Regions from separate parts of the Mus musculus genome. Here regions 1, 3, 4, 5, 6 and 7 are each reported to be linked to region 2. Evidence: microRNA targets listed by miRTarBase, many of them from high-throughput screens and not tested one by one. Region 2 holds a microRNA gene; each other region holds the end of a gene's coding sequence.
Evidence for each region. The annotated mature microRNA mmu-miR-546 reads AUGGUGGCACGGAGUC and lies in region 2 at 2,996-3,011, opposite strand. An mRNA with a match to its seed (bases 2 to 7 or 8) in the 3' UTR can be bound and repressed. Matches are read on the target gene's strand: a 7mer-m8 pairs with bases 2 to 8, a 7mer-A1 pairs with bases 2 to 7 and ends in A, and an 8mer does both.

Region 1: the mRNA of Ddx58 is a reported target of mmu-miR-546. Seed matches in the 3' UTR shown: 7mer-m8 at 1,268-1,274 and 7mer-m8 at 2,689-2,695.
Region 3: the mRNA of Ttyh1 is a reported target of mmu-miR-546. Seed matches in the 3' UTR shown: 7mer-m8 at 1,282-1,288.
Region 4: the mRNA of Fam118a is a reported target of mmu-miR-546. The part of its 3' UTR that is shown has no 7-base or 8-base seed match.
Region 5: miRTarBase lists Slc28a3 as a target of mmu-miR-546. Seed matches in the 3' UTR shown: 7mer-m8 at 1,447-1,453.
Region 6: the mRNA of Rhoh is a reported target of mmu-miR-546. Seed matches in the 3' UTR shown: 7mer-m8 at 1,670-1,676.
Region 7: miRTarBase lists Pigv as a target of mmu-miR-546. Seed matches in the 3' UTR shown: 7mer-m8 at 2,820-2,826.

Annotation. Positions count from the first base shown.
Region 1 is chr4:40,202,575-40,206,640 of GRCm38, reverse strand. It overlaps Ddx58 (DEAD/H box helicase 58), which reads left to right. Exons shown (of 18, transcript NM_172689.3): 18 at 535-2,864. The coding sequence ends at 831. Among named protein-coding and RNA genes, the nearest start is that of Ddx58, 35 kb to the left of the region's middle.
Region 2 is chr10:126,997,416-127,001,481 of GRCm38, reverse strand. Mir546 (microRNA 546) reads right to left here and starts at 3,042; the gene lies at 2,922-3,042. Ctdsp2 (CTD (carboxy-terminal domain, RNA polymerase II, polypeptide A) small phosphatase 2) reads right to left here. Exons shown (of 8, transcript NM_001113470.1): 8 at 1,507-4,066. Avil (advillin) reads right to left here and starts at 773. Exons shown (of 20, transcript NM_009635.3): 1 at 651-773.
Region 3 is chr7:4,133,358-4,137,423 of GRCm38, forward strand. It overlaps Ttyh1 (tweety family member 1), which reads left to right. Exons shown (of 14, transcript NM_021324.6): 12 at 1-45; 13 at 306-381; 14 at 509-2,050. The coding sequence ends at 344. It overlaps D030047H15Rik (RIKEN cDNA D030047H15 gene), which reads right to left and starts at 3,569. Exons shown (of 3, transcript NR_033548.1): 1 at 3,204-3,569. It also overlaps a transcript of Leng8 not described here.
Region 4 is chr15:85,060,812-85,064,877 of GRCm38, reverse strand. It overlaps Fam118a (family with sequence similarity 118, member A), which reads right to left. Exons shown (of 9, transcript NM_133750.4): 9 at 2,048-3,346. The coding sequence ends at 3,327. Smc1b (structural maintenance of chromosomes 1B) reads left to right here. Exons shown (of 25, transcript NM_080470.1): 25 at 1-189. Among named protein-coding and RNA genes, the nearest start is that of Fam118a, 26 kb to the right of the region's middle.
Region 5 is chr13:58,552,318-58,556,383 of GRCm38, forward strand. Slc28a3 (solute carrier family 28 (sodium-coupled nucleoside transporter), member 3) reads right to left here. Exons shown (of 18, transcript NM_022317.3): 18 at 990-3,499. The coding sequence ends at 3,373. Among named protein-coding and RNA genes, the nearest start is that of Gm38494, 7.9 kb to the left of the region's middle.
Region 6 is chr5:65,892,625-65,896,690 of GRCm38, forward strand. It overlaps Rhoh (ras homolog family member H), which reads left to right. Exons shown (of 3, transcript NM_001081105.2): 3 at 1-4,066. The coding sequence ends at 340. Among named protein-coding and RNA genes, the nearest start is that of Gm32474, 18 kb to the right of the region's middle.
Region 7 is chr4:133,658,999-133,663,059 of GRCm38, forward strand. Pigv (phosphatidylinositol glycan anchor biosynthesis, class V) reads right to left here. Exons shown (of 4, transcript NM_178698.5): 4 at 2,427-3,793. The coding sequence ends at 3,512. Among named protein-coding and RNA genes, the nearest start is that of Pigv, 12 kb to the right of the region's middle.

The DNA.
Region 1 (4,066 bases), not on the chromosome of region 2:
ACCTCTCTTCCCATTGATGCATGACAAGGCCATCCTCTGCAACGCACGCAGCTGGAGCCATGTGTACTCCTTTGTGGATGGCTTAGTCGCTGGGAGCTCTTGGGGGACTGGTTGGTTGATATTGTTTTTCTCCCTGTGGGGTTCCTTCAGTTGTAGGGTACTCTCTTAAGTCAAGTCTAAGTGGGGTCTGTGGACAGCATGGCTCCTGAGCCTGTTCACACACATACCCTGTGACCCCTGGGTGTCACCAGCCCTGTGCTTTGGTGCCTTCCTGGCCTCTGGTGAACTTGAACTTTGTATGTGAACTCCTCTTTGCTTCTGAGTTGGAAAGCTGGGTTTCCTCCTTTCTCAGGTGCCAGACGCCCAGGAAATGGGTCCTAATCGGCCTGGGGAAGACTGTCTATATAGTTTTTTTTTCTTCCAACTTGTAAAATAAATGGGATCCCACTCATTCCTGACTTTTAGCTACTGAGTGGCTTCTAAGTCATTTTCAGACCCGTTTCTAACATTGTGCGCTCCATCTCTTCCTCCTAGACGTCCCACTACACTGTCCTTGGAGACGCTTTTAAGGAGCGCTTTGTGTGTAAGCCACACCCTAAACCAAAGATCTATGACAATTTTGAGAAGAAAGCAAAGATATTCTGCGCCAAACAGAACTGTAGCCACGACTGGGGAATTTTTGTGAGATACAAGACGTTCGAGATTCCAGTCATAAAAATTGAAAGTTTCGTCGTGGAAGATATTGTGAGCGGAGTTCAGAACCGGCACTCAAAGTGGAAGGACTTTCATTTTGAAAGGATACAGTTCGATCCTGCAGAAATGTCCGTATGACCTCAGGCTTCTCCGTCTCGTGCCGCAGGGAGCCGTGCCTTAAGCATGGAGTTGATGAGCCAATGCTTTCTTACCCAAGCTTGCACAATCCTTTCTTACACAAGCCTGCACTGTGTTGAATGCCAGATAACCTGACTGGTTGGTTTCAAGCTGGTGCTGTCCACACAAAGCACACACGCCTGAACTGCGGCGCCGAATAGTTTCTTCACCAATAACTCATAGCGTAGCCCTTGGCCATGGTGGGGAGGGGTTAAACTTGTCCCTTTTACACTTTTCAGAACTGCCCGACAGGGAACGTGCAGCCACTCGGTACACCGAGACGCATGATGGCTGGCGTGCTGGAAGGGTTCCCGTTCTCTGTCTGCTCGATCTGCTGTAAGCTGCCTTTGCCCTTAATGACAGTGCCCTTAAGAACAGTGACTTAGTTCTTTTTCAGGCCACCAGACTGACTGCCAGATCCCTTCTGTCCCTTCTGTCCCTTGCACTGATTCCTTTCCGGATTTGACCCTGCCACCCTGTCACCCTCTGCAGAGTCTCCTGGTTTCTGTCTCTTCCTTGGTTTCTTTGCTGACTCAAATTTGGTAGTTGCAAGGTTCAGTATGCACACATATATATTTAAAATGACATATAATTTAAAATGTAAAAGACTATAGTTGACAGCTATGCTTACTGAGATGGTATTTCTGTTCTGTTCATTACTATACATCTTACCCTTGCTCTCATCTGTTCTTTTAACTTGGGCCATTTCCCGTCTTTGAATAGACATCTCAAACCCTGTCTGTATGTCTGTCTGTTTCCCACCTGTTTGAGACAGGGTCTCTCTGTAGACCAGAAACTCCATATGTAGACTATGCTGGCCTTGAACTCACAGATCCCCCTGCCTCTCAAGTGTTGAAATTAAAATCTTTCACCATGCCTGGCTCTAGCTATTTTCAATAAAGGCTCATGTTTAAAGTTTGAACTACTTCCAATTCATTCCCTGACGTGGCTTGTTGTTGTTGTTTACTTTTGGAGACACTGTTCCTCTCTGTAGCCCTGGCTGTGTAGACCAGGCTGCCCTTGGTCACAGAGATCTGCCAGCTTCTGCCTCCGGAGCACTGAGATTGAAGGCCTGCATCACCATGCCTGGCTTGCCCTTTCTTCTTAAACATTATATATTCAAATGGCATTTCCGTGTTTCTTCTCAAGGTGTGCCAGTGCTTCAGAGAGCTTAGTTTGGGGTTCTTCAGATCAAGAGACAAGTGTCTGAGCGCTGTTACTGCCAACAGAGCAAAGTACTCTTCAGTTCAGGGAAGGAACAGTGCTGGTTTTGTAGGCAGTACAGTGGTTTTAACACCTTCCTAGAACTTACTTGTAATTCATCAGTTGTAGACCATCAATGGCCTAAACCAAACTGCAGAGATCATCTGACCACATAACTCCCCTTCCAGGACATTTACATTTGAAGACTATCCCAAGCCCACCCAGAGCACAGTGGGTTACCCAAACTCCCCAGGTCAACCCTGGAGGTCAACAGTATGACATGGGATAGCACACCACTTCTCACAGATGCCTAGAGAAATTACCCAGCAACATAACTCTTTGGGGAAAAAACACCTATAGGGATTAGGCTTTTAATTGATAGAATAGGTAGAAAAAAAGATATGTAGTAGTTCTTGATAGTGGTTACTGGTAAAATTCTTAGTGCAATAAAATGAATTTGCCGAGAGCTGACTTTCTTTTTTTTCTTGTTTTTTTGAGACAGGGTTTCTCTGTATAGCTTTGGCTGTCCTGGAATGCACTCTGTAGTCCAGGCTGGCCTTCGAACTCAGAAATCCGCCTTCCTCTGCCTCCCAAGTGTTGGGATTAAAGGCGTGCGCCACCACGCCTGGCTGAGAGCTGACTTTCATTTATGTCTTTTAGTCTATGTTGCCTTTCTTTGCTGCTACAGTTTAAGAACTCTACAGCTTGTATAAGATACCTACTGGAAATTATTTGAGAAAAAAAACTTGTAAACATTACAATAATTTAATTAATTAAAAATTTATGTATTTTATGTATATGGGTGTTTTTTTCTGCAAGTCTGTGTGCACATTAGAAGAGGGCATTGGATCCTCTCTATTGTTATAGTTTTATGCTGCTGCTGTTGTTGCTGTGTGTGTGTGTGTGTGTGTGTGCTATGAATTGAACTCAGGACCTCTGGAAGAGCAGTCAGTGCTCTTAACTGCTGAGCTATCTCTCCAGTCCTGGCAATGATAAATCAGTTGAAGTGAAATAGTCCTCCCCCCCCTTTTTTTTTTTTGCCAATGGGGAAAAGCAGACTAAATCTGAGACCAAATGAAGTTTTGAGTTGTACACTGACTTAAGCCACTGCCAAGCATACCCTGGAATGGAGCAAACCCTGGGTTACTAAGTACTGAATGAATACAACAGGAAGGTTTTGAGAGATGGGAAAATGCTTGTCTTTGGACTTCCCTGATGGAAGTTGCATCTGGACTCTCCCATGAGCACATCACCAGTCCCCACTAGAGTCCTCACAGGTTGCCATCCATGTGTCCTTTTTGAGGCTGAGATACAACTTGTTCTGCAACCACAGACCTTGCTGTTTTGTGGTCAGTATTGGTATCATAGCATTTTCATCCTGACCTGGAGCCTTCAGTCAAAGGCCTCATTGTGCAGTAAGGACGCTGGACTCCTGACTCCTATACTTAAAACAGACTTGGTAATTTCAAACAAGTCAACCAGATGCCAGTATTTCTGCATGCATGTCTTGTGGGATGGTGTTGTGAGGTCCCCTGACAGATGCACTGAGTGGCCAGGGAGACTTTTGTACCCTTTTCCATTTTAACAGCCCACGGGTCACTGTGTTGCTTCCATCATATTAACATCAACTTGAACCAGTGGTTCCTGAAACACTTCAGTTCATTGGACCTTGCTAATTAGCATCCTGTAAAAACCCACCAACAAATATCAACTAGACAGGTAGAATCCAAGTGAACTGTACACTCCTGGATCATGCCAGTAACTGTTTTAATAATACACCATAAAATATAACTACGACTTCATTTTACAAATCTGTGTTTAATAAACAGGTACAGGCTTGTTGGGTGCGAACTTTTAAAACTCCTAATAAAAATGCCAGCTATGATTATCTTTGTTTATGGCAATTTGACTAAGAGAACAGAAATTAGCTGAGTGTTAAAGTACATCTGTGCTTACAACATTTAACAACTTCCTAAAGAGCCGGTAGAACCAC
Region 2 (4,066 bases):
GAACCACCAGGAAATAGTCAGCTTTCCTTCAGGCCGAGTTCTCTCACTTTTAAGTCTAATGCGTGACCCACCCAGGAAAGGGAACCAGAGCTGACACAGTCCTGGTTATCGGTAAAGCCTAACCAGCAACCTTAGCACGGTGAATCCGAGCCCCCAGTGCAGTCCCATGTCCCCCATGGAACTTCAGAATCCAGGAGCTGATTAGAGACCCAAGATTCAGGAAATGCCACACCCAGAAAGCCCAGTTCCATCTATCCACATCAAAGTCCCCCAAAGCTGGGTCTGTTTGTCTTCCCAAGCCGTAACCACCAGCACTTTGGGGTACGGAGAGCTACAAAGATCACAGGCACGGGGTATGGTCTGGGGATTCCAGGTAGCTTGTAACCTACTGGGGTTTAAACTTCTCTTGCCCCACAGTGGAACAGATGAGAGGGGTCTTGTTACCCCAAATCCCTGAGCCTCAAGAACGTGCCCAACCTAGCCAGTGGGATCTACAGGTTCTCTCAGTGTGAAGTTTGCAAAGCTCCATCTTTCCAAAGCTGCATCCCCAAAGACAAAAGCCAGGGAAGGTATGACTCTTGTCCCTTCTTCACCTTTGGCCTCATCCACACTCAGCATTTGGCTGACAAGGACACACAGAGTAGACCTACCTGACCCTCTGTCCTCCGAAGTCCGGCAAAGCAGCAGGTGAAGTACTGATGAGGTCTCCCAAAGCAGCCCGTCCTGAAGCCTGTTTCAGCAATGGCCGCACAGCATAGACACAGGGTTATATTTGCTTGTGTTTGCATCATAACCACATTCTCCTAGCTCTGGCCAATCACAGCCAACCTAGCCCTGGGCTTGACTTATTCAAACCAGAGAGGAAAGCTTTATCTGCTCCTATGCAAAACAGCGAAAACAAGAAGAGCAGACTTCTAAAGGCTTCTTTTAACTCCAGCTCCACACCCTGGTCTATTGATTTTTTTAAAAGTGCACTGTCCATCAATAATTCAGTGAGGGAGGATATGAATTTGCCATATTGTAGATATGAACGTATTATGCTGATGACAGGAGACTGGCTAGAGCTCCCCTACTGTGTGCCTGGACGTTCAGGGCTGAGAGATGATTCTGGGCAATTCTGTGGTGTCAGGAAAGCTTTTGTTGCTTGGAGTCTGTACAAGTCATCCTACTATGTGCCTGGAAACCATGCTGGGCTCTGAATCTCAAGGCCTGTTTGGCAGCATCAAGAGCACATGCAGGAGCCTCCAATTCCCCCAGGGCTTCAGTCTCTACCCCAGTCAATAGCACAGCAAGCAAACGCTTGCCAAGTACCTGGGGAGAGGGAGTTGGTTCCAACCCAGGCCCGAGAGGGGCTAATGCACTCCAACCTCTGTAACCTTGATCAGAATCCCAGCGTTTGCTCTGCCAGGTGCTATCATTTCACGATCAACGAGGTCATGCAGGAAGAACAGTGTCCACCGAGTGTCAGGTCAGTGGAAGGGAAGGAAAGCAAAAGCAGCTCCCAGTCCTGCACAGGTTTTTAAACCAGCCTTTATTAACAATTGTAATACAAATATTCCAAAAATATAAACAGACTCTTAATGGCATCCTACAGTTCAAGTTTTTGAATACAACAAATGTATCAAATCATGAAGCAAGGTGGCCAAGGATCCCATAGCCTGGTCACAGTGGGAAGCAGACCTCTCCCCTCCAAATGGCATCACGGGAATAGCCAGATCCGGGGTAAGGACAGGCATGGAGAATCACCAGCTTATGGTGCAGGGCAGTTCTGGGAGCTAACCCCGAACTAAAGGATGGGGCAGCTGGCCTGACCTGTGACCTCTTCTCCCCTGAACATGGACTTATCTGTTTTCTAGAAAGAGGGACTGGGGATGTAGCTTAGTTGGGAGTGTGTGCCTGACATGCACGAAGCCCTGGGTTGTCCCCAGCACCTCACAAGCCAGCAAGGTGATCACACCTGTAACCCCAGCACTCAGGGGGTGGAGGCAGGAGACCAGCGATCACCTGTAACCCCAGCACTCAGGAGGTGGAGGCAGGAGACCAGCGATCACCTGTAACCCCAGCACTCAGGAGGTGGAGGCAGGAGACCAGCTATCACCTGTAACCCCAGCACTCAGGGGGTGGAGGCAGGAGACCAGCTCAAGATCACTCTTGGCTAAACAGGAGTTCAAACCCGTTTTTAAAAAAGGAGTAGCCGTGGTTTGGAAATTCATCAAACCGTGTGTGTGTGTGTGTGTGTAGGGGAGAACTAGGACATTTTTAAAAAAGGAGTAGCCGTGGTTAAGTAGCCCAAAGGGGAAACAGCTCACCGTTTTCACTTAGCCAGGCCAACACACTGGATGCAGGACAGCACAAACAGGCCACACTGCCAAGAGGCCTCTGAACAGAGCAGGTCATGGACCTATAAGGGACCCATCTCCCAGGAATGGTTGCTGTGAGGGTCCCATGCTTTTAGTACAAAGCTTTTCTGAGCCACTGTTAACAGGGGGAGGGGGGTTATACAATTATACAAAAATCTTTGGGAGGGAGTGAGATAGGTCCCTGGTTGAACGAAGGCAAATTCACTCAACTTCTTTAATTAGGGACCCATGGGCCTTCGGTGTCCCCTCTACAATGTGCAGAGTGGAAACCCTTACCTGGCCCTTTATCAAACTGGTCCTGTGTCCAAAGCTCCCCCTATAAGAGGGACAGGAACGTCAGGCTTTTGATGCGAAGCCCAATCAGACACACACTGTGTCCCTGAAGAGGCACCTTAAAGAGCTGAACCCGGCAGGGGGCAGATTCCTAGCATGGCTTGGAGTGGATGCTGACACCTGGTCCGGTGGTCTACTGACTCCTGAAGACCAGTCTGCACTGGGGCAGGCGGGCTGGTGGCAGTGGAGCAAGGGCTTCAGGAGGCACTGGCTCCTCTCACTTGCCCTCCTCTCCTCCCCAGTATCACTTTGCTTCTAAAACATGGAACTAGCACAGGGATAGCAAGAGACAACATCTAGCTGACTCCGTGCCACCATGATAGATCCTGTTTAGTTTTGGGAAGAGAGGAGTTGATATGGCATCTTTGTGGCAGACTGCAGGTGGTAAGAGGACTCTGGTGGCAGTCAGGCCTAGAGAGCTGGGGTTTCATGGAGAAGTAACAGGGCTCCCATGAAGCCACACTGGGCTTTGGTCACATGGAGAACCAAGAAGCCAGAAAGGGACCTTAAAATTCAATCAACTCTGAGGCTCTTATTGCTTAGTCAAGACCAGCCCTCAGAGCTTTGTGAGAAGACCCCTCCTGCAGTATTGGGATGCCAGTGAGATCAGGGTCTGGACCTGAAGCCACAGTCAAGCTCCCATGTTCCTGGCTAGCACCTGCAGCCCTCAGCTCACCTTGGGAGGACCCTACAGACACCAGCAAATGAGGCTGGGGAAATGGCATGTGTTTGTCACAGAAGTGAAAGCCAAGGCTCCATAGCCTCGGGCCCAGGAAGAAGTCTGCAGAGTGCTGGAGGAATGCCAGCCAGTCTCCACTCACACCACCACACTCCTCCACCAGGCTTTCTCAAACCCCAGGCAGGACCTCGTGTGTGGAAACTAGAAAAATTTGAAAATATTGACTCCTGAGTGGGAGGTACCACACCTGAACCAACCCACAAACGCTGGCCGGCCTCCAGGGGAAGCAGAGATGGGGTAGGAACTCCCGCCCACCTCGGAGGGAGGCAGGGAGTGGGCGGGACTCACTTAAGGCAGTGAGGTGGAGGCCCCTCAGGGGCCCCTTGTGTTCCCAATGGTAGCTTTCCACTTTGGGGAAACTTCCACTCTGTGACTGACATTGAAAGCAACAGGGCTGAGAGCTCAGAGCTGCCCAGAGCACAGAGCTATGAGGACCTCACTCAGTCCTATAACGAGAAGCAGGAGGCATTTGGCAAATCAAGTAAGAGCAACACTTGGGACAACCAATCAATTAAGTACAACCGGGGAAAGTCCTTCTCCCAAGGCTCTGGAGAGGAAGAGCAGCAGCCGAGAAGGATAAAGGCGAGAGCAGACGAGAGCTGGCCAGGGCGGGACACCAGGAAGACACAGAGGG
Region 3 (4,066 bases), not on the chromosome of region 2:
GATGACTACGATGACACAGATGACGATGACCCTTTCAACCCTCAGGTATCCTGGTGTGAAGGGAGGAGGCCTGGGGCCTGAGCTCCTGGGTCTCTTGGAAGGGGAAATGAGTATTGCATTCTCGGGTCTGAGAAGAAGAGAAATGAGACTGGACCTCTGGGTCTGAGGTCCTAGGGGAACAGGGATGAGTCTTGGCCATGAGGGAGGAGGCTGGGGTCTGGAAGCCTGGGCCCGAGGGAGGAGAGAAGGGCCCCCACGTACACAACAGATTCTGAGTGTCTTTCCTGCCCTGGTTATCCTGCCAGGAATCCAAACGCTTTGTGCAGTGGCAGTCTTCCATCTGAGCCTCCCCTCCAGTCTGGAGCCTGCCTCTCCTCTATGGTAACCTTCAATGTGTACAGTTGGGTCTTGGCTCTCCCCTACAGTAGTTGTAGCTCTCTTATGTTGGGTGGATGTCCATGGGAGGGTCTCCAGTGAATATCAGCTCTTCATTTCTCCCTCTCTCTAGCTCCTTTCCTGGCTGCTGGAGAAGGCCCCACTAACCTGACCTTGACTGGGCTCTGACCACTAACACTGCTGGCTATGGACATCTCACTTAGGATGGCAACCTGCTCTGGCCCTAACACCCACCCCCCCATCCCCATTTCTCCTTAGCACAGGGGATTGCTGAGGTGGCACAACAGGGACCAGGGGTGGCTGGGAAGGGGGCTGACCTATACAGCCTGGTGTTCCTCACCTCTGGCTGCCAGTCCTGTCCTTGGAGGGATGAAGCTGGAGGCAGGTACAGGCACGTCCCTGTTTCCTGCCATACCCCAGCGATCTCAACCTATGGCACTAACTTGGAAGAGGGCTGATTTGAAATAAAAGGGAAGGCTTTATTTTACAAGCAGCTAGGTCCTTCTTATCCACCCCAACTACTGAGAGAAGGAAGTCCTGACTGGGCTAGGGACACTCCTCCTCTGGTGGTTGAAAGGCAACTCTCCTCTTGTCCAGGCTCAGCACTGCATTGCTTCTATAAGTAACATGTGAATCCTGACAAGGGGGAAGAAGCAGATACCGGAAGAGAATAAGCCTAGCACTAAATCTAAACAGGCGTGCAGCCACAGGAACAGTCAAGCTTCCAGTCCCGTGGAATGTACAAAGCCTGCTGGGTTTAGGAAAGGCGTGGAATCAACTTGCTTCCTAGCAGCTCACACCCAGCACAAGACTCCAGAAAACCAACGCTTGTATCAGAATAGGGACAGAAGTCTTCGAAGAGAAAGTAGAATATTTGCTTGTAGTGCCACCAGGGTGATATGAAGGGGGAAGGTTTAAGGAAGATATTATAAATCCAGGCAGGAAAAGATGAGGCACTCAATAAGTTATCAAGTAAAAACAAACATGGCAGAGTCAAAAGGGAAATTTATTGTCTGGGGAACAATATGTATGTAGTTCTCATTTGTTTAAAAAACAAATAGCATACATGGCAAAGAAAAACGTGGTTAATACATAAACATAATTCAAAAAGCTTCTATTATCTAACAAAAAAGACCTCAATTTAATAATAAGTAACTGAGAAAAACAAAAACCCCAAAACAAATGGATAAAATTGTCTTTTTTGTCTTTGTTGTTGTTGTTTTGGAGACAGGGTTTCTCTGTGAAACAGCCCTGGGCTGTCCTGGAACTCTCTTTGTAGACCAGGCTGGCCTTGAACTCACAGAGAAGAGCCTGCCTCAGCCTCTGCCTCCCTAGTGAGGAGATTAACGGCGTGTGACGGCGTGTATCACCACACCCAACTAAAGTGTTCAAATTCTAATGATTAGCAAACACAATGTGCTACTTTCCCCTTTCGAGTACCTATTTGTTGTGGGATTTAGAGTGGAGTGTGGGCTGGTGCTGGTCTGGAGGCCCAGGGAACAGGTTCTCTAAATATGCTGCCCAGAGACTGTGAATCACCAGCTATGTGAAAATAATAATAAACAAAACAAATAAACAAACATAAATATGCTTACATGTGAGAGGATAAAAACTGCATCTCTTATCCTGGTAATCCTTTGAGGGACCAGCTTCCAGAAAGAAATAAACAAGCAACCCCTGGCTCAGTTAAACGCTGGAGACAAAACTAATCTGCCACAGTGGGACTCTTCCCAAAGACCAGCAGCTCTGTAGGGGAGATGGCAGAGCAGGGTCCTCAAGTGACTACAGAAGCACCAGGGGTATCCCTGGTTCTTGCACAATGCTGGTTTGGATTCCTATGGGTCCTAGTCCTGGCACCTCAGTGTTAATGTAAGCAAGTTATTTGACTCACTGAACCTCTTTTTTTGGTTTTTCAAGACAGGGTTTCTCTGTGTAGCCCTGGCTGTCCTGGAACTCACTCTGTAGACAAGGCTGGCCTCGAACTCAGAAACCCACCTGCCTCTTCCTCCCAAGTGCTGGGATTAAAGGCGTGGGCCACCACTGCCCAGTTTTTTTTTTTTTTTTTTTGTTGTTGTTGTTGTTGTTTTGGTTTGGTTTAGTTTGGTTTGGCTTTTTGTTTTGTTTTTTTGAACCTCAGTTGTGTGGTAAAGCAAATGGGCATCATAAACCCAATAAACAGCTCTTGACAGGATGGGTAAAAAAGCAAGACAAATGCAACATGATGCTCTGGGTTACGCTATGGCGCACCGGAAACATTAGTGAGAAAAAGCGCCCACATCTGCGGCTTAGTTCAGAATATTAGAGCAATGTCAATTTCTTACTTTTAACAAATGAATTTGAGGTGTGGAATCTAGCAATAGGGGAAACTGGGCATAGTGTGCCCAATTCCTGTATTACTTTTGTAATTTCTGTAAACTTAAAATTTATTCTAAAATAAAAGTTCATTATAAAAAAGAGATGGGAAGAAACCTACCAAGCTAACACTAGCAAATGATACAGAGTTATCCAAGTGTTGTTTAATTACCAAAAGTTGCTTGTACAATGTGAGACTGGAAACTGGTCAATTGATGAACAATAATTGATAAGAAGGTAGTCTTATCAATTATTTTAACGGGAGATCCCAAGTTGGGCTGCATAATTCAATCACTCCTACTGTAAACAGTGAGCTTTAAGTGGCGGCCCACACCTTAATCCCATTAAGAGGGAGGCGGGTTTCTGAGTTCCAGGGCCATCCTGATCCTAAAAGATACAGTTCTGCTAGCTGCCACTCCGAGCAGATCTCACCATCCCAACACCCTACAAGGTACCTTTCCAGCGTCACAGTCCAGTGGCTACTCCCATTCCTCAAGCGACGCGTTTCCCGCTTCCTTTGGTTCGCACTCGCTGTTCCCTACGCCAGGTGCGCCTTTCCAATTTTACTCACTAAATAAACCTTCCAAGGGAGGATTCACCTTATCCCATTTCCCTCCACCCGCTTATATATTCATTTATTTTAAATCGTCCTAGCGCAGTGCGCAGCCTCACAACTCCTGTCCCTATGCGTTACATCTGAGAGACTATTGACTGCTGAGTCAAAACTAAGCTGTTGTGAGCGCGCACGAGAGGCTGGGAGGTACTTGTCCCCACGGGGCCACCGTCTAGGGCCAGCTTCCGGCTTGCTGACAAACGCCAACACGCGACTGCGTTCGCGAGACGTGTGGTGGGCGGTTCAAGCCGAGCGGTGACGTCTATTGGCTGTGCGCGACACAGGGCGGGGACAGACGTCCGGGTAACGTCATCACGCCACGGTCAGGACGTTCGAGCCCCAGACTAGAGCCAGCCGGTGACTGAGCGCTGTCTTGGTTGTCTTGAAGCTGCCTTGGACCGCCGGTAACGAGTCCCGGGAGCGAGCGGTCCTAGTGAGTGTGGGTAGTAGTGGGAGGCCTGGCGGGCGAGCACAGGGACGCCTTCGGGCTCCGCGCTCCGCGAGCCCTGGCCTGTTTGGTAAGGCCAACCGACGCCGCGCCCTGCGTCTTTGAAGGGTGTGGCCGCCGGAGCGCCTCTGCGCATGCGCGCCGGGTGTACGCTGGGGGGGGGAGGGGGCGGCTCCCCTACGTGCGCGTGCGCGTCCGCGTCCGCTCTGCTACTGGCCCTGGGAACCCTGCGGTCCCTAGTGCCCTAGACGCACCCC
Region 4 (4,066 bases), not on the chromosome of region 2:
ATGTGTCATAGAAGAAAAATCTCTTACCATTTTAGTAGAAAAAAAACTATAGCCCACTCAGCTAAGGAGTGCTCAGTGTCATTCCAATGGAGGTTCCTATGGCATCAATGAATGAGGTATATGGTTTTCTTTTGCTTTTAAGGGCTTTTGTTTTGAAACAAATTGGTTATAAAATTTTGAATTCTGCAACATCTTTACTCTGGTCTTGTCTTGCGTTTAAGGGAAACAGCTGGTCTGGGGGTCTGGTTTTTTTGTGGTGCTGGAGAAGGAACCCAGAAAGAATGTCTAAGTGTTGTACCACTGAGTACCTCACAGCCTTAATAGTTTCTAAAAATGTCAGTCATAGTACAGCTAATAAATTGTTGAGCCTGGCTTACATGGGAGATTATTTCAGAGAGAATGTGTGTCAGTACTGAAAACAAAGTAATTTCACAAGTTTTAAAAACAGAAAACTTGTGAGGGTGAAACTGAGTCATAGAACTTCAGTATAACGCTAATGTTTCTAAGTCTAGTTTCTTGTAAGGGTACACTGAATTGTAAGGCTTTTCCAGGTTATAGGGACTTCATGTAAAGTCATTGTGGAAGCTGGAATGTGGTAGTTTTCAGCAGTGCTTGTTCCCATTTTCAAAGTAAAACAGGAGGATCCTGCAGGACTCCATAGATGTCAAATCTGATCCAAGTGCTGACCCAGGAACTGTTTTCTGAAACCTTGGCTCACTTCTGATTAACATTTGTTTCCTGTACACAGAACATGCTCTACACCTGCTTGGTAGACTGAGTTACAAGATTTAGTTTCATTCTATATATGCACACACACACACACACAAATAAAATGTAGTAAGATACAGTTATAGAACTATACACCCCCAAAAAAGCAAAGATAGCGTTATATACATGAAGTTCCTAAGAAATACACAAATGTTACAATTAATAGTTAGTTTACCCTGAAAGGACCCTGATGTTAGCTTACAAAAAATAGGTATGAATATGGCCATACAAAACTCATAGTGCATATGGGAACTAGAGAGCCTCTGAGTCTTATGGAGCTGCATAGTAAAGATTTCAGGATATTCTCTCAGCTCCAAAGAACTGGGTGCAAACTATTGCATTCACTTAGAACAAGGTTCAGCAGACTTCTTGAAGATCCAGTTAATATTTCTAGCTTTGGTGAAGCTGTAAGGTTCTCAGAATTACTTGAACAACTACTTAAAATGTGCCAACTCTCTGTCTCTGGGCAGTAACCACAAGAAAGGGCCAGAGCTTGTCAGCTAGCTTCATGCTTCTCAACTGATAAAAAGAGAAGCAAATACTTTGTGTTGAGACTGTTTCCTTTCCTAATGCCCGAATCACTGAAATAAAATGACATTCAAAACACACCATAACAAAATAGATATAATTCAGTATAACAAGAAAATTCAGATCCTTCGCTGTGACACTAAAGCTTTTCATAGACTGATTTGTTTTCAGTTTGTATACTGCTTTTATAGTCAGCTGAATGTAATTTTGCTAAACAATTTATTAGATCAACTTCAATATTTACCTATCTACCCCTGATATCACTTGGTAAATGTATTTTAAAAAGAAAAAAATGGCCCACTACTGAGTCTGTAATCACAATATTTAATGAGCTGAATAGGAGCATTGCTGTGAGTTGGAAGACAGTCTAGCCAACAAGGTAAGACCCTATCTCAAAATAATAATAATAATAATAATAATAATAATAATAAATAAATCATCTCATTCTGTTGGGGTCTATGCAGATGTGAGTAAAGGTGGCCACAGAAACCAGAAGAGGGCAATGTATTCCCTGGGTGGTTGTAAGTCACCTGATGTGGGTGCTGGAAACCAAACTTGGGTCTTCTACAAAAGTAATATGTGCGTTTAACTGCTAAGCCATCTCTACAGCCCTCAAAAAATAATTTTCAAAAATTCATTTTTTAAACACATTCAGAAGTCATTTGCTTGACTTCATAGTTCAGTGGCAACTCAAGCTAAACATTCTCATACCACATCTTGTCATAACTGAAGAAAAACTGAGCACACAGGGTTGACTTTAAAAATTTTATTTATAACCAGTGACATAAAAGATTTTCCACACTTAGAAAGCATGGGAGTGAGGAGGTGTCTTTAGCCTGTCTCTGGCTTCTCCCTCATTCCCTGTAGCAACCTATGTTTCCTGTTCTTAATTGTCAATATCCCTTGGGAGCTACTGTGCCGTCCATGCAATGTCACAGGCAGAGCTTGGCATCATATCAAAGATGGATAGCCTCAAATGAACCATGCAGGACCTGTTTCTAAGAAGTCTTCCTTTCAGGACCACTCTGTATAACATGTGAGCCTTTGCCACAGTCACTATCAGAGGAGCTGTGGACATATGCAGTAGTCTAAGCATGGGTGTTTTCCCAGAAGTTAACCTTGAATGTAGTTAAAATTTGGCAAGCCCTTTCAAAGTATTGCCTACTCCACTCCAAGTAAATCTTAATATGAACCGTGGGAAGAGAGGAGATCAGAAAGGATGGGCCTTATCCTAGAGAAATAAGACTTGGAAAGCTTAGAACTTCTAAAAGTTTAAAGCTTGATCTTGTGCTTCACTCTCCCTTTTTAACTTGGAAGTCACACAGTGGATCTAGACAGCACTGAAGACTTTGGGAAAGGTCTTCAGTCTGTCTGGACTTAACACTCACTAACAGTTAGTTTACCAATTCTTTGGAACAGAAATTACTAAAATGTCAAAATTCCAAAGAAACCAAATTGATCTAGTCATCCCTTTAAAAACAATTTTCACCAGTGGGTTCAGCCCCTCTACTATCCACTTGTGCTTTACTGTTTAACACTGTAACCAACACATCTTTAAAAAAAAAAAAAACTTTCTACAGCCAAAAGATGCTTCCATGTATTTCCACATAAAGATATAAAATATAAATGTTTATGTCTTATTTTCTCTTTGGCAACTACTGTTGCTCGAATAGTACTCATTCTCCTCCATGTATTAGGAAAAATAACACCCTGACATAAGAAAACATGTCAAATGGAAAAAGGGAACAATGCCAGGTACATCCCACCCCTCAATTTGGTCCCTGAGGTAGCTGTCCATAAGTCCTTATGAGTATACCTGAAGTGTGTCCATGTCACCTCCTGAGCAGCTAAACGCATAGTAGAGCTCTGTCATTCAACCACAAAGGCCACACACCCACATGGCTCTTTTGGGGGTGTGTGACAGTTCACTATTGAGAGATCCATATGGAGTCCTCTGTACATTCCTCATCACTTGGGCATGGCACTGTGGTTGCTGAAGGCTGGTTTTCAAGTTTCAAGTTTTAAAAACTTCAAGACCCTCCAGCATCATCTGCTTAAGCAAAGAAAATACAAAAGTGTTTCAGTTCAGGTAAAAGAAATTCTATCAGAATTTCTGTTTCAGTAACTACTTCACATGCTGGAAATTTTGAAAACCCTCCATAATGGTAATAGTAGCCACTGTCTAGAAATGGCATTGCAGAGCTATAAATACTACCAAGGACCAGGTACAATGTAGGGTATAAAGACTTATGGATATCTTTACCAGTTGCACACACACAAAAAAACAAAAGCATGTTTTAAGTATGGATAAGAAATGAAGGCTCAGAATGCACACACAATTTGACTGCCACACGTATAGAAACACCATTCCTCTTGGATTCTTTAGGCTTCAAGTGTGGACAGCAGGAGTAAGAAGGTGGCTCTTGGCCTTTCTCATCCACATGCAAAACAGGTCAAGGCTTTCTGCACATCAGAGACCAGAGAAATCTTCAAGCATACATAGCTGCCCAGGGAGAGGCAAGGCTGATACAGTTGCTAATACTTGGGGGGTTGGGGGAGGAGCTCTTTTTGGGTAACTTTCTGGCCCACTGCTTTGTGGCACTGTCTACCAGGCAGTAGCTCTAGCACCTGAACATGCAGCATTCAGAGAGATCATGAACATGTAAAGCCTAGTATACAAGTGACAGCAGGAAAAGAAAAGAAAAAGAAGAAACCCACAATTGCCTACTGAAAACAATCACTTTACACATCAGCAAACAGTGGAGGAAGC
Region 5 (4,066 bases), not on the chromosome of region 2:
GAAAGATGTTTAGTTATGTTCGTGTAAAACTATTATATTTTAGATTTTCTTATTCCAGTTTAACAAACAGTGTTTTCATTGTGAACGTCTATTTTTTACAAACTAAAGAGAAAAAACTTTTTGACAAACAGTCATAATTGCTTTCCTTGAGGCAAGCTGACAGGCTCAGGAAAGAGTTAAACAAAGAAACATATTGACCAAAGACAAAATTTAAAAAAAAATTGATAGGCATTCTAGAAATAACAAAAAGGTTCTCTCAGGGATTCTCAGGAAGAATATATACAAATATATAAAAAAAAATCAGGAGGTTAAAAAGCATCAGAGAGAGCCGGGTGTGGTGGCACATGCCTTTAATCCCAGCACTTGGGAGGCAGAGGCAGGCGGATTTCTGAGTTCGAGGCCAGCCTGGTCTACAGAGTGAGTTCCAGGACAGCCAGAGCTACACAGAGAAACTCTGTCTCGAAAAACCAAAAAAAAAAAAAAAAACAAAAAACAAAAACAAAACAAAACAAAACAAAACAAAACAAAAACAACAACAACAAAAAAAGCATCAGAGAGAAGATAGTAGCTATAGAAGACAAGAGAGAACCAACATATGAATAATTGGCACTTCCGACGTTGTTCCGTAGGCTGTAATGAAACCTTAAGGCTTACAAGGACACACAAATGGCTTTTCCTAAAGTATAAAGACTGAGAAAGATTGATGAAAATAATAAAAAAAATTAGAAATACCGGGCCGGGTGTGGGGGCACACGACTTTAATCCCAGCACTCGGGAGGCAATGGCAGGCAGATTTCTGAGTTTGAAGCCAGCCTGGTCTACAAAGTGAGTTCCAGGACAGCCAGGGCTATACAGAGAAACCCTGTCTCGAAAAAAAAAATTAGAAATACCTTGATCTGTTTACTTCAGGGACAAAAAGTTCTTTGGACACACAAGCCCTCCTCCCACACCACCAAACATAAAGCAAAACCAACAAATAATCCCAACTATTTATGCATAGATTATTTTTTAATTGCTCTCGTGCATGGTCAGAAGGGGAAACAGAATACATCATCTAAGGTATTGCATAACCCTTTCCCCGCTGACACTCTTCCTTTTGAGTCGTCTTTGGCTCAGGTTTTCCTCAGTGTGTTCTCTGCACCGTCGATACTTATTTCGTTAAAGCGAGTTCTGCTGATAACCCCCAGGGAGCACTCATGATGCTGGTGTCTTGCTGATTGACAGGAGAGCCAGTGAAAGCCATCCCCACCTCAGTGGGCATTGAGTGTCCTTCATAGTTGGCCCTTACGTGGCTTTTTGACTGAGCACTAATGTTTTACAGTCTTAATCAGGAATGTAACAAAATTGCACATCAACAGGTCTATATACACAATCACAGAGACTTGGATGTCAGGCACCTTGGTAGTCTATTGACTTCTTCAAAGTGTTCACTGTTGTAGCCGGGCGTGGTGGCGCACGCCTTTAATCCCAGCACTCGGGAGGCAGAGGCAGGTGGATTTCTGAGTTCAAGGCCAGCCTGGTCTACAAAGTGAGTGCCAGGACAGCCAGGGCTACACAGAGAAACCCTGTCTCGAAAAACCAAAAAAAAAAAAAAAGTGTCCACTGTTTTCCTCTTGTGACAGGGATAGTTCATTTATGGCCTCAGACACCTCCTTGTCACAGAACTTCTCTGGCTCACAGCACAGAGTGGAAATGAAGAGTGTTATTACCTTGTATAAATTTTGCTGTTGCTGCTTGGAGACACACTCTTGCTATGTACCCTGTGCTGGTTTTGAGCTCATAATCTTCCTGTCTCAGCTTCCCAGAGCTGGAATACAGGAGTGTGCACCAAATCTGGCTCCTAGCAGCAAAGTTAAGAGCTATTACACTGTTTCTGCATGTTTCCCTAAGGTCAACCCATATAGGGACCACTTCTTTTAGCCAGGGTACTGAAAACAGACATGATTAAACCCCAGTTTAGCAATGCAGAGACTCATGGATGATAAATGTGAGAATACACAACTACAGAGTGCTCAGCTCCAACTGGAACATTTATAGCTACTTCCTTGCGGCACAGGGAATAGAGCTCAAGATGGGGAGGAAAGAATGTGAGAGCCAGGGGCTGGGGAAGAGCTGTGAGATGCTGTCTTCCGAACAGGACAGACTTTGCACTCATGAGCTCAAGGTAGAAATGGTCACTCCCACAAGATCAAGCCAACAGTGCCAGGCAACATTGTTGCAGGCAACCCTAGACTTAGTAAGTTACAGAAGAAATGGTCACTCCCACAAGATCAAGCCAACAGTGCCAGGCAACATTGTGGCAGGCAGCCCTAGACTCAGAAGGTTACAAAACATAGAGGAGAGGGCAAGAAGGTGAGGTGGAGACAAGCTGAGGGGTGTCTAGGAGGGTGGGGGCAGTGGGAATTAAGGGTAGGTATGATCAAAGTACATTATACACATGTGTAAAATTGCCAAAGAATAAAAGATATTCATTCAAAAAATACAATGTTAACTTTAAAAAGATGGAGGACGACTGCTTACAAGCCTCTGAGGCTGATGAGACTTAGAATCTTGAAGCCGAGCATTTCAAACATATCCGTAAAAGATTTGTAAGATGTTGAAGTTAGCGGGGAGTCTCTGCAGCATAGGTGGATGGAAGCTTGCTGCTTACAAGGCTCTATGTTTATGGACTCAAGTATTGGCTTTCGTATGGCCTGCGTGCTTTTCTGAAGGACTCTTGATCTATGAGAAACTTCTGGATGGTAGCGAATGAATGGGCCATTGCAGAATAGCCCTCCTTCACATGAGATTCAAGTTGAAGGTATTTCAGATGACCTTGAGTGAGGGTGGAATGACCTTGCCTGAGATGTGTTTAAATCATATTGGGAACTACCACACACACACACACACACACACACACATCTATCTATCTATCTATCTATCTATCTATCTATCTATCTATCTATCTATCTGGCCCAGTTGCTGGGAACTACCATATATATTGGTATATATATATTTATATAAATATATATGGTATGCATATATATACTATTACATGTGTATATATATACATATACACACAGACATATATATGTGTATATATTTGTTTATATACACATATTTTTTCATGAAATGCCTTGAAACTATAAAGTCAGAAAATATTGTTGGGGCTTAGGATCACACCTCAGCTAGGGACAACATCCTAGTTCTCCATGCAGAGATGGTGGGCTAAGGAGAGAAAGGAGAAGGGAGACACTGTAGCTCAGGAGGACTCACTCCTGACCTTGTTCCTCCTTTGCCATTAAGTCTGAGTCCATGACGGAGTTTTCTATCCCCTCCAGGGCAGGAACTCCAGCATCTGCATGCAGAATCCCACTGGACACATGGCTGAGATCACAATTTATTAGGGATCCAATTGCAGTTCAGCGTTGGTGGTTTCAGCAGGTTGCAGCAGCTCTTCAAAGCATAGAGGCTGAAGTTTCCTCCTGGGACGACGTCATTTGGTCCCTTGGCAACAGTGCTGGTGGAGGCAGAAGGAACTCATTAGCTGGGCCTTAGGTGGGAGCAGGAGGAGAGTAGACAAGGGCACACTGGAAATGGTACAGGACAGGAAGCGGATTCCCTTGTTTCCAGTCTAGATAGGTGGGTTTAAGAGAGACTCCTGAGGGTTGGTTTTGGTTCTCAGATTCTGGGTGGCCCTGAGAACTCCCACTGTTTCTTTCAGAATAGCAATGACAGGGTAGAACTAATTCTTACAAAAACAACAAACGAAAAATAAAAAGGTACCTGTACATGAACTGGACCCATGACTAGGCAGTTAAGAGCACACTGGCTGTCCTGGAGGACCCAGGTTCAATCCCCTTGACCCACAGAGCAGCCCACAACTGTCTGTAACTCCAATTCTGGGGCTTCTGGTGCCCTCTTCTGGCCTCAGTGGGCACTGCTTGCACTCAGCACACAGAAATACCTGCTTATACATACTTATAAAACAAACCCAAAATCTTAAAAAATATTAATTTGTATGTGAATAAAAATAAGTGGAGTGAAGGCACTGATTTTGCAAATAGAAAATAGAGGGTAGAGATGG
Region 6 (4,066 bases), not on the chromosome of region 2:
ACTGATGTGCTACTCTGTGGCCAACCATAACTCGTTCCTGAACTTGAAGAACAAATGGATTAGTGAGATCAGGAGCAACCTACCCTGTACCCCGGTGCTGGTTGTGGCCACACAGACGGACCAGAGAGAGGTGGGACCTCACAGGGCTTCCTGCATCAATGCCATAGAAGGGAAGAGACTTGCCCAGGATGTGAGAGCCAAGGGCTACCTGGAGTGCTCAGCCCTCAGCAACCGGGGAGTACAGCAGGTATTTGAATGTGCTGTCCGAACAGCTGTCAACCAGGCCAGGAGGCGAAACAGAAGGAAGCTGTTCTCCATCAATGAATGCAAGATCTTCTAAACCCCAAGGTCCTGTGCCCAACATTCATGAATGTATGAATGTACCTCAGAGACTCATAGGAGAGGGGAAAGGGCAAGCCAAGAGGACTGATGCTCTGTCTTGAAACATCTGAACAAGCTTTCTGCATGGGGTTATGAGGGAGTCTGCCGCTGCTGCTTCCACTAACTCTACTCTGCAGAAGAACTCTGTGCCCAGCACAACCAGAGAGATTCCTTGGGAAGCCATATGAGTAGTCCATCTTCAATGAGAGACTAAAACAACCATCCTAATTTAGACAATGAAGTGCATTTCCCAACTATGCCATATTTAAATCCACATCTTATTTAAATAATAACCAAATATCGAGCTCTTGTTTTCATGCTTTGGAAGTCTTTTCTTTGAAAAGGCAAACTGCTGTATGAGGAGAAAATAACCTTGTGGGGTTCAACCATATGTCTGTGGCGTTATTGTTACTCCTGAATTTAATTTGGTTGGAACTACTTTGTGTGCTGTGTTTTTTTCTAGCTCATCAGACTTTCCAATGACCATAAACTGATCTCTGTAATTCATCTTCCATTTCCCTGTTATTCAGAGTTGTGTATAAAATACAGCTCTGGCCCAGAAGGTATTTTAACACTGCCAAATGACTTTCTCTGTAATTACAAAAGAAAATTTCTTCTTTACGATATTACCTGTCACTCAGAGAACTCCAGTTGCACACCAAGTGTTCCTTTCTCACTCATTAAGACAGAGATGGAAAGAAAAAAAAATCTTTCATCTCGAGAGTCACATGGATGCTGTTGAGGGACCCCTTCTCCTTGCCTGTGTCATCTGACATGTACTTCCTGATTGGTTACAGGTCTCGGGAAAAGAGGGCAGGCAAGTGTTGTTATAAATAATAGTTAATTGGCTGGCACAACCCCATCATTTATTAATTTTAAGACTGAATCAAAGCAATTAGAAAGGCGCCTATATAGCATGCCTGTGTATATGTATAAGGGAAAAGGCAGTGTTTATGACTTTTACTGTTTCATGAATAGATACGCACTTGTGAAAAAAATTACAGATCTCAGGTTCAGAGAATGAGTAAGTCTCCCTACTCAGATAATAAAGAGTCGTTGGGAAATACTAACTCAATAGGGAGGTGTGCATATATGCAATCCTCCTTCCTGATTGTATGAAAGTGATAGTGTCGATCACCTTTTCTTTTTTTTTCTTTTTTTTTAGTTTTTCGAGACAGGGCTTCTGTATAGCCCTGACTGTCCTGGAACTCACTTTGTAAACCAGGCTGGCCTCGAGCTCAGAAATCCACCTGCCCCTGCCTCCCGAGTGCTGGGATTAAAGGCGTGTGCCACCACGCCCAGCTTCGATCACCTTTTCTACACCCTGATGTATCATTTGTAGTTCCAATCTGATAACTGGGAACACTTGTAGCGCCTTTCTTGGAGCCCAGCACTGTAGAGGGGTTGTATGGCTGTCATCATGAAGAGTGAGGAGCCTGCAGGAGCAACCCTACTGTGGATTATACTGACATAAGCAAGTCAGCTTGTCACACGGATTCTCTGGCTGACTCTCTGTGGATACAGTCTGTTAAACATATCCTAGGACGCCTCCCCCACCCTCCATGCTGTTTTCTCCTCTGTCTGTCTCTCTCCCAAGCTCAGTCACAAGCCTGGAACCTGGGTCTTGGTCTGGGTAGAAGAAGCACTTGCCATTTCCCAGGGCTAATAGGTGTGCTGTCAGCTAATCTCTCAGCCTTCTGGTTCTGCGGCTGGACCACCTCCGTCCCTTGCCTTGAGAGCTCATGTCTTCTGTTCACGGCACTGGGCATCCTGAAGGTTGGAATGAGCAGACAGAGGAGGAGACAGGGACTATGTCTTCCAGGTCCCTCATGTCCCTCTGATTCTCTCCTCATTCTCCAACACACAAAGGATTTTGTGTTTATTTTTCTTTTGGAGTGTGTGTATACACTCTTATTGCTGTAAATTGAAACTTTTTTTTTTCTCCTCACATTGTTGCCCAGGATGACCTCAGACTTGCAATGGTGCTCCTGTCTCAGCCTCTCCGGTGCTGTGACGATAGGTGTGAGCTACTAGGCCTACGAAAGGTCTTTCATAACAAACCCGGCTTCAAGTTTAATCTGTGGAATAGTTTAAAACACACTGAAGAAATTAATTTCTACACACTCAGTTCTACACACTCAGTAGGCTGTCCCTTAATGCTTTTCTTTCTATTGAAGGGAGGTAGGGTTGGGGAGCATCTAACCGTGGGAAGGCCCCAGGGAGGAAGAGGAAGTTTCATGCTGGAGACAGGAGGGGAGGCCATCGAGGCTGCTGATAGACCTGAGTGAGGTTTGCCTGTTGACAGGAGCCGGTGGTAAAGCTCCTTTAAGGAAGGAAGCCTCACACTGGAGGGCAGAAATTCAAGTGTGAAGCCTCCTTCATGTGCACCTGGTGGAAACTGAGCCAGGCAGGGCCTTTCTTCTCTGTGTCCCTGAGGCTATGCTGCCTCATAGTTCACTCCGTGTCCTCAGGGCCCAGCGCAGGGAAGAAACCATAGCTAGATGAAGTTGTGTGAGAGGAAGGAAGAGATTGATCTTCACGGGTCTGTAGGTTTAGCTTTGCACACATCCATGAAGGTGTAGGAGACTTCCCCTTCAATAGGTGGTGCTTTTTGTATGCTTCACCTTCAAGTGTCCCAAGTAGCAAAATTACAGATGCTCATGTTTCCATAAGAAAGTGGATTTAAGTGGTTAAGTTCATTTGTTCTGGCCTAAGCAGAATCCCAGAGGCTGGGAAGTCTGGGATCAGGTGTCAGCACAGTCAAGCTCAGTGGAAGGACCTCTTCATCTGATTGGTGGCTTCTTGCTATGTCCTCATGTGTGTGGTGGGAGTTTGATCTATTCTCATAAGAGCCTTCGTGCCATCTGTGAAGGTCCCGCCTTTCTGACCACGTTATCTCTTAATCCTATCACAGTTGATCAGGCCTCAGAGGAGCAGTTTGAGGGGGAAGGGACCCACATTCCCTCACGCCAGTGCTTTTCTGTCTTACTTTATTCAGCCTAGCTAAATAGGGCAACAGAATAGGTTGGCCCCATACAATGGGTTAGGTGACAAGATGACAAAAAAAGCATCCCGATGGTGCAAGTATGTCGAGCACTTCAGATAGCTGGGCACTGTGTTAAGCTCTTGTGTGGTATGTAAGTGGCTCACACGAGCAACTTGGCCCTCAACATGTTAATGGGACAAGCCCGAGCCATACAGTGGGTGAGTATCAGAACTCCTAAGTCTGGAGCAGGTCTGTGTGGCTCCAAAGCTCTACTCAAAACCATCATGGCCCACTTCCTCCCTGAGCAGTTACCTGCATGGCTTTGCCACATCTGATATCCCATAGCTGCAGGCCTCTCCCCCTACTAGTCAAAGGGCTTGTATTTAAAAGATGGTGGTGATGATGATGATGGTGGTGGTGATGGTGGTGATGATGATTTTGGCTTGTTCATTTGTTACTGTTGTTGCTGTTTTGAGAAAGGATCTTGCTATGACCTTAAACTCATGGTGCTCTTTCTGTCTTATATTATCCAGTGCTGGCGTTATAGGCACACATCACCACACACAACTTAAAAGGTTATTTTTATTTATTGTTTTGCATTTTACTGGTTATCAAAATCAAGGCCTCTTGAATACCAGGCAAGTGCCCCACCCTGAGCTATGCCCCCAGCCCCAAAAGATTGTTTTTAAATAAAATATT
Region 7 (4,061 bases), not on the chromosome of region 2:
GTGCAATGTGCTCAGGAGTGCAGGTTGTCAAGGTTTCCTGGTGTTGTCTCTGCTGGAGCTACAGTGATAGGGTCTTGTACTTGGGTCCCCTACAAAAACAGGACTTGGGGCTCTTAACCACCGAGACATCTTTCCAGTTCTTTTTGTTTTGTTTTGTTTTGAGACATGGCCTCACTACGTAGCCCTGGATGTCCTGGAAATCACTCTGTAGACCAGGATAGCCTCCAATTCACAGAGATCCCCCCTACCTCTGCCTCCCGAGTCCTAGGATTGAAGGTGTGCACCACAGTAGGCTTAGATTTCACAATCTTCCTGCTCCATCTCACAAGGGCAGGGACTGCACGTGTGCACCACACCATCTTCAAATTAAAACTTTAATTCATCCTCGTTATAAAAAAAATTTAAGTAGAAAGATAGCAAAACATGTCCTTTATGCCTCAGAATTTGCTACTTCTGGGCCAGCACTCAGAGGGCTCAGTGGGGGAAGGGACTTGTCCTCAGGCCTGACATGCCCAGTTTTAAGGACAGCATAATAAAGAACTAAGACTCAACAAGAGGGCAATGCTGACTTCCACGTGGGCTATAGGATGTTCATGTTCACACACACTCACACACACACACACACACACACTAAAATGTTGCTTTTTAAAGAATTTACCACTTCCCTAATGAATGCTCCGGTGCACTGGCCAGCAACACTTGAGGACAGGAGGCGTGGCTAGGCCTGCCTTAGTCCAAAACAGGCATTAATAAACAACTGGTGAAAAGAATCCTTTTAAAAACTTAAGCCTCCACACTTTACATTTTTAGACCCAGACTTCCGCTGCCCCACCCCAGTGGGACTACTAGAGACCCGCCAAAGCTTCCCCTTTTCCCACCTCCATTAAAGAACAAAAAGACATCCACTTCTGGGTCCTCAGAGTGTCTGGTTTGTATTTTAGCAGGGTCTTGGAAGGAAATGACTTTTCTCTGAAACCGTGGCCGCCCCACCCAGCTGTGGCATTCTTAGACCTCGGGGAAACAGGAAGCTCCGGCCTTGGGCCCTTCACGGTCCTCCTTCAGACTATTAAAGACTGTTAATAGGCCGGTAAAGGGACAGCTGCTGGTCATAAAGTCAGCCCGCTCCTTACAAGCTGAGCCGTGAGCCTCCCAGGCCAGAAGCCCGGCCTTCTCCAGGTGTGCTTACCTAGCCGGGGTGCCCAGGTGTAGGGTTTCTTCAGTGATGGCTCTAGGGACAAAACAGGGGAGACTGAAGCTGCTCTGTAGGGGGTGAGTCACCTCTCCCAGGAGAGGAACAATCACTTCTGGTTACCCTCCAAACGGAGGCAAAGTGGAGCAGAGAGGGAGACCAAAGGATCCCGGCTCCTCCCACGCACTTTTTTTTTTTTGGAGGGGGAGGGGGAGTCCTAGGATTTGCAGCTGCTGGGGAAGAGGCTGCAGTCTGCCAGCTGGAGGGACACACTAGGGGAGAGGTGTTGTCTTTTGCCAAGAAGGGCACTTGGTGTCTTGGCAGAAGGCAGAGGGCTGCCCCAATCTGTGTGTACATTTTCAGTAGCATTTGACTCTGGACCAAATGCTTGGCTGTGCTAGTGCTGTGGTGCTGGGTGGGAATGCTCGTTGGCCAGGCTGGCTGGAGGCTCCCACAGAGGGTGCTGGGCCTGGGCCAGGAGCTTCCCTTCAGCTGGCAAGTTGAGCTTTCTGTCACGGTCGGAGGGAGTGTGTCCAAATTCCAACTCCGAGCTTTCCAGAAGCCACTGCTGACTGCCATCTGTTTTGAAGAATGCTGCTTATTGGAATTTTTGGCCCAATGGGGAGTAAGGATGGTGACACCGAGCCAAAGTTACCTGGCTCAAGAATGCACAAACGCTGCGCAGCAGGGACACTGTCTTTCATTTATACAGGGTCTTATTCTGTAGCTGCCCTCAAGCTCACCTCAAGCCTCAGCATCCTGGAGTCATCCTTCCTCAGGGGCAGGGTTACTCTTAGTAACCACAGGGAGCCAGGAAGCAGGGCAGATGCTACAGTAGACAACCTTGGACTGACTTAGCTACAAGGTTCCCCCATCAAGGCTGTGGGGTAGGTGCCTCTGACTCATGCAAGTGTGATCTTTGAGAATGGAAAACCAGTCACCCTGGGTTACCCTTTTCCACCAGGTGTCATTACTCTCCACGACAGCTTCTATTCCGAGTTGTTCCCAGAGGTGGGGGGGAGGCTGTTTCCAATTGATCAAAGGAGGACTTTCCCATTAGACCACTTGTGAGCCTCCATTTATCTTTTGTTTAAGGTAGCCTCAAGATTTAAGGCCTAAATCACACCCCAGGGAAGAAGTCTCCTCCTTAATTTCAGAGAAGGCAAAAGCTCTGAAGGTGGCTTTAGATCATACAGCTGGAAAGTGAGGAATGGGAGCCAAGATTCAGACCCTGTGCTCTGATCCAAGTGGTGTTTATTACTGAAATTAGGGCCTCGTGTGCTTTACTACGGAGTTCTAGCCTCAACCCTCTATAATTTATAGAAACTAGTTCGGCAGAGGTAGGAGGATCTCTGAGTTCAAAACCAGCCAGATCTACATAGCAAGCAAGTTCTAGGACAGTCAGAGTTACACAGAGGGACCTTGTCTTAGCTCCCCTGACTACCCCTCCTCCAGAAAAAGGTAATTCATTGCAAAAGGAGTATTTAGATTTTCACAGTCTGTAGGATAGACACAGACACACACACACCAGTATCATAAAGAAAACTTCAGGGAGCTGGAGAGATGGCTCAGTGGTTAAGAGCACTGGCTGCTCTTCCAGAGGTCCTGAGTTCAATTCCCAGCAGCCACATGGTGGCTCACAACCATCTGCAATGGGATCTGATGCCCTCTTCTGGTGTGTCTGAAGACAGCTAGTGTACTCATATATAATATAATACATCTTTAAAAAAAAAAAAAAAGAAAACAACCACCTTCAGAAACCTCTCACTTAGAGCAGGCTGTCTGTCCCCTCTTCCTTCTGTCACTACACTGCACTGACTCCACCATCCTGAGTGGGGCAGGCTGTTGGCCTGTGCTTTGATCAAACATTTAAATTTATCCACCAGGCCAGGCAGGGGTGGCTCACACTCAGTGGTGGGCCTAGTACTCAAGAGGCAGAGGCAGATGAATCTCTGAGTTCAAGGCCAGCCTGGTCTACATAAACTTGGTCTACAGAGTGAGTTCCAGGACAACCAGGGCAATGTAGAGAAACCAACCTTCTCTCAAAAAACAAGAAGACAGACTTACACGTGGATCAGTAGTAGGTTTAAGATTGCCTAGTACTTGTGGACTAGGGAGATCTGAGACCCCTGCACTGAGCACTGAAGTTACTCCCCTACACCTGCCCCGCCCAGGATGAGAAGGGGCGCCTGTGCTCCCATTTTCCCTTCTTAGCTGGCCCCCAGAGAGACCCAGAGATCCTACTGCACAGTGCTCTCCGGAGTGTGCGGGCTGTCCCAGCCAGGGTGTCGTCTTAGAGCTTTCATTCCTTGACACTCCAGGTCAAGTCCAAGGCAGGAAGTTGCAATGGAGAATTAGTCCCAGAAGCCAGTAGGTCAGGAAGTAGACCAGAACGCATCTTGTGACTGGAGAGCATCTCTTCCAATCGTAGAAGAGTTTCATGAGACAGTTTCTGGGGGCCTTCTGTCCTGGTGGGGACTTCTCCTGAGGAAGCTTCCCAGGCTCTGTGTCCACACACCTCAGCAGCGGTTCTTGATCCTGAAGCAGGTGAGCTGGAAACCAGTACATGATAGGAGTGGAAGAGGCCAAAAACCGCGTGAGAACCTAGAAAAGCCATGTTGGTTGGAGCATCAGTGATGTGGCTGGGTCAATCATGGCCTGACAACGAACAACATCCCACTGGGAAAGCAAGTTCAGCAAAAGCTGCAGATCTGCCTAATACCGAGAATGTTATTAATCTGCCGATGCCAGACAAACCTCGTGTTCCCAACAACCAGTCTCAGTGGAATTACCACACTAACGGGCCAACCAATACTAAAAGGTCTCTCTGAGGTCTAATTTTACCCACAGTCTCTACATTTTAGTCTGCTTT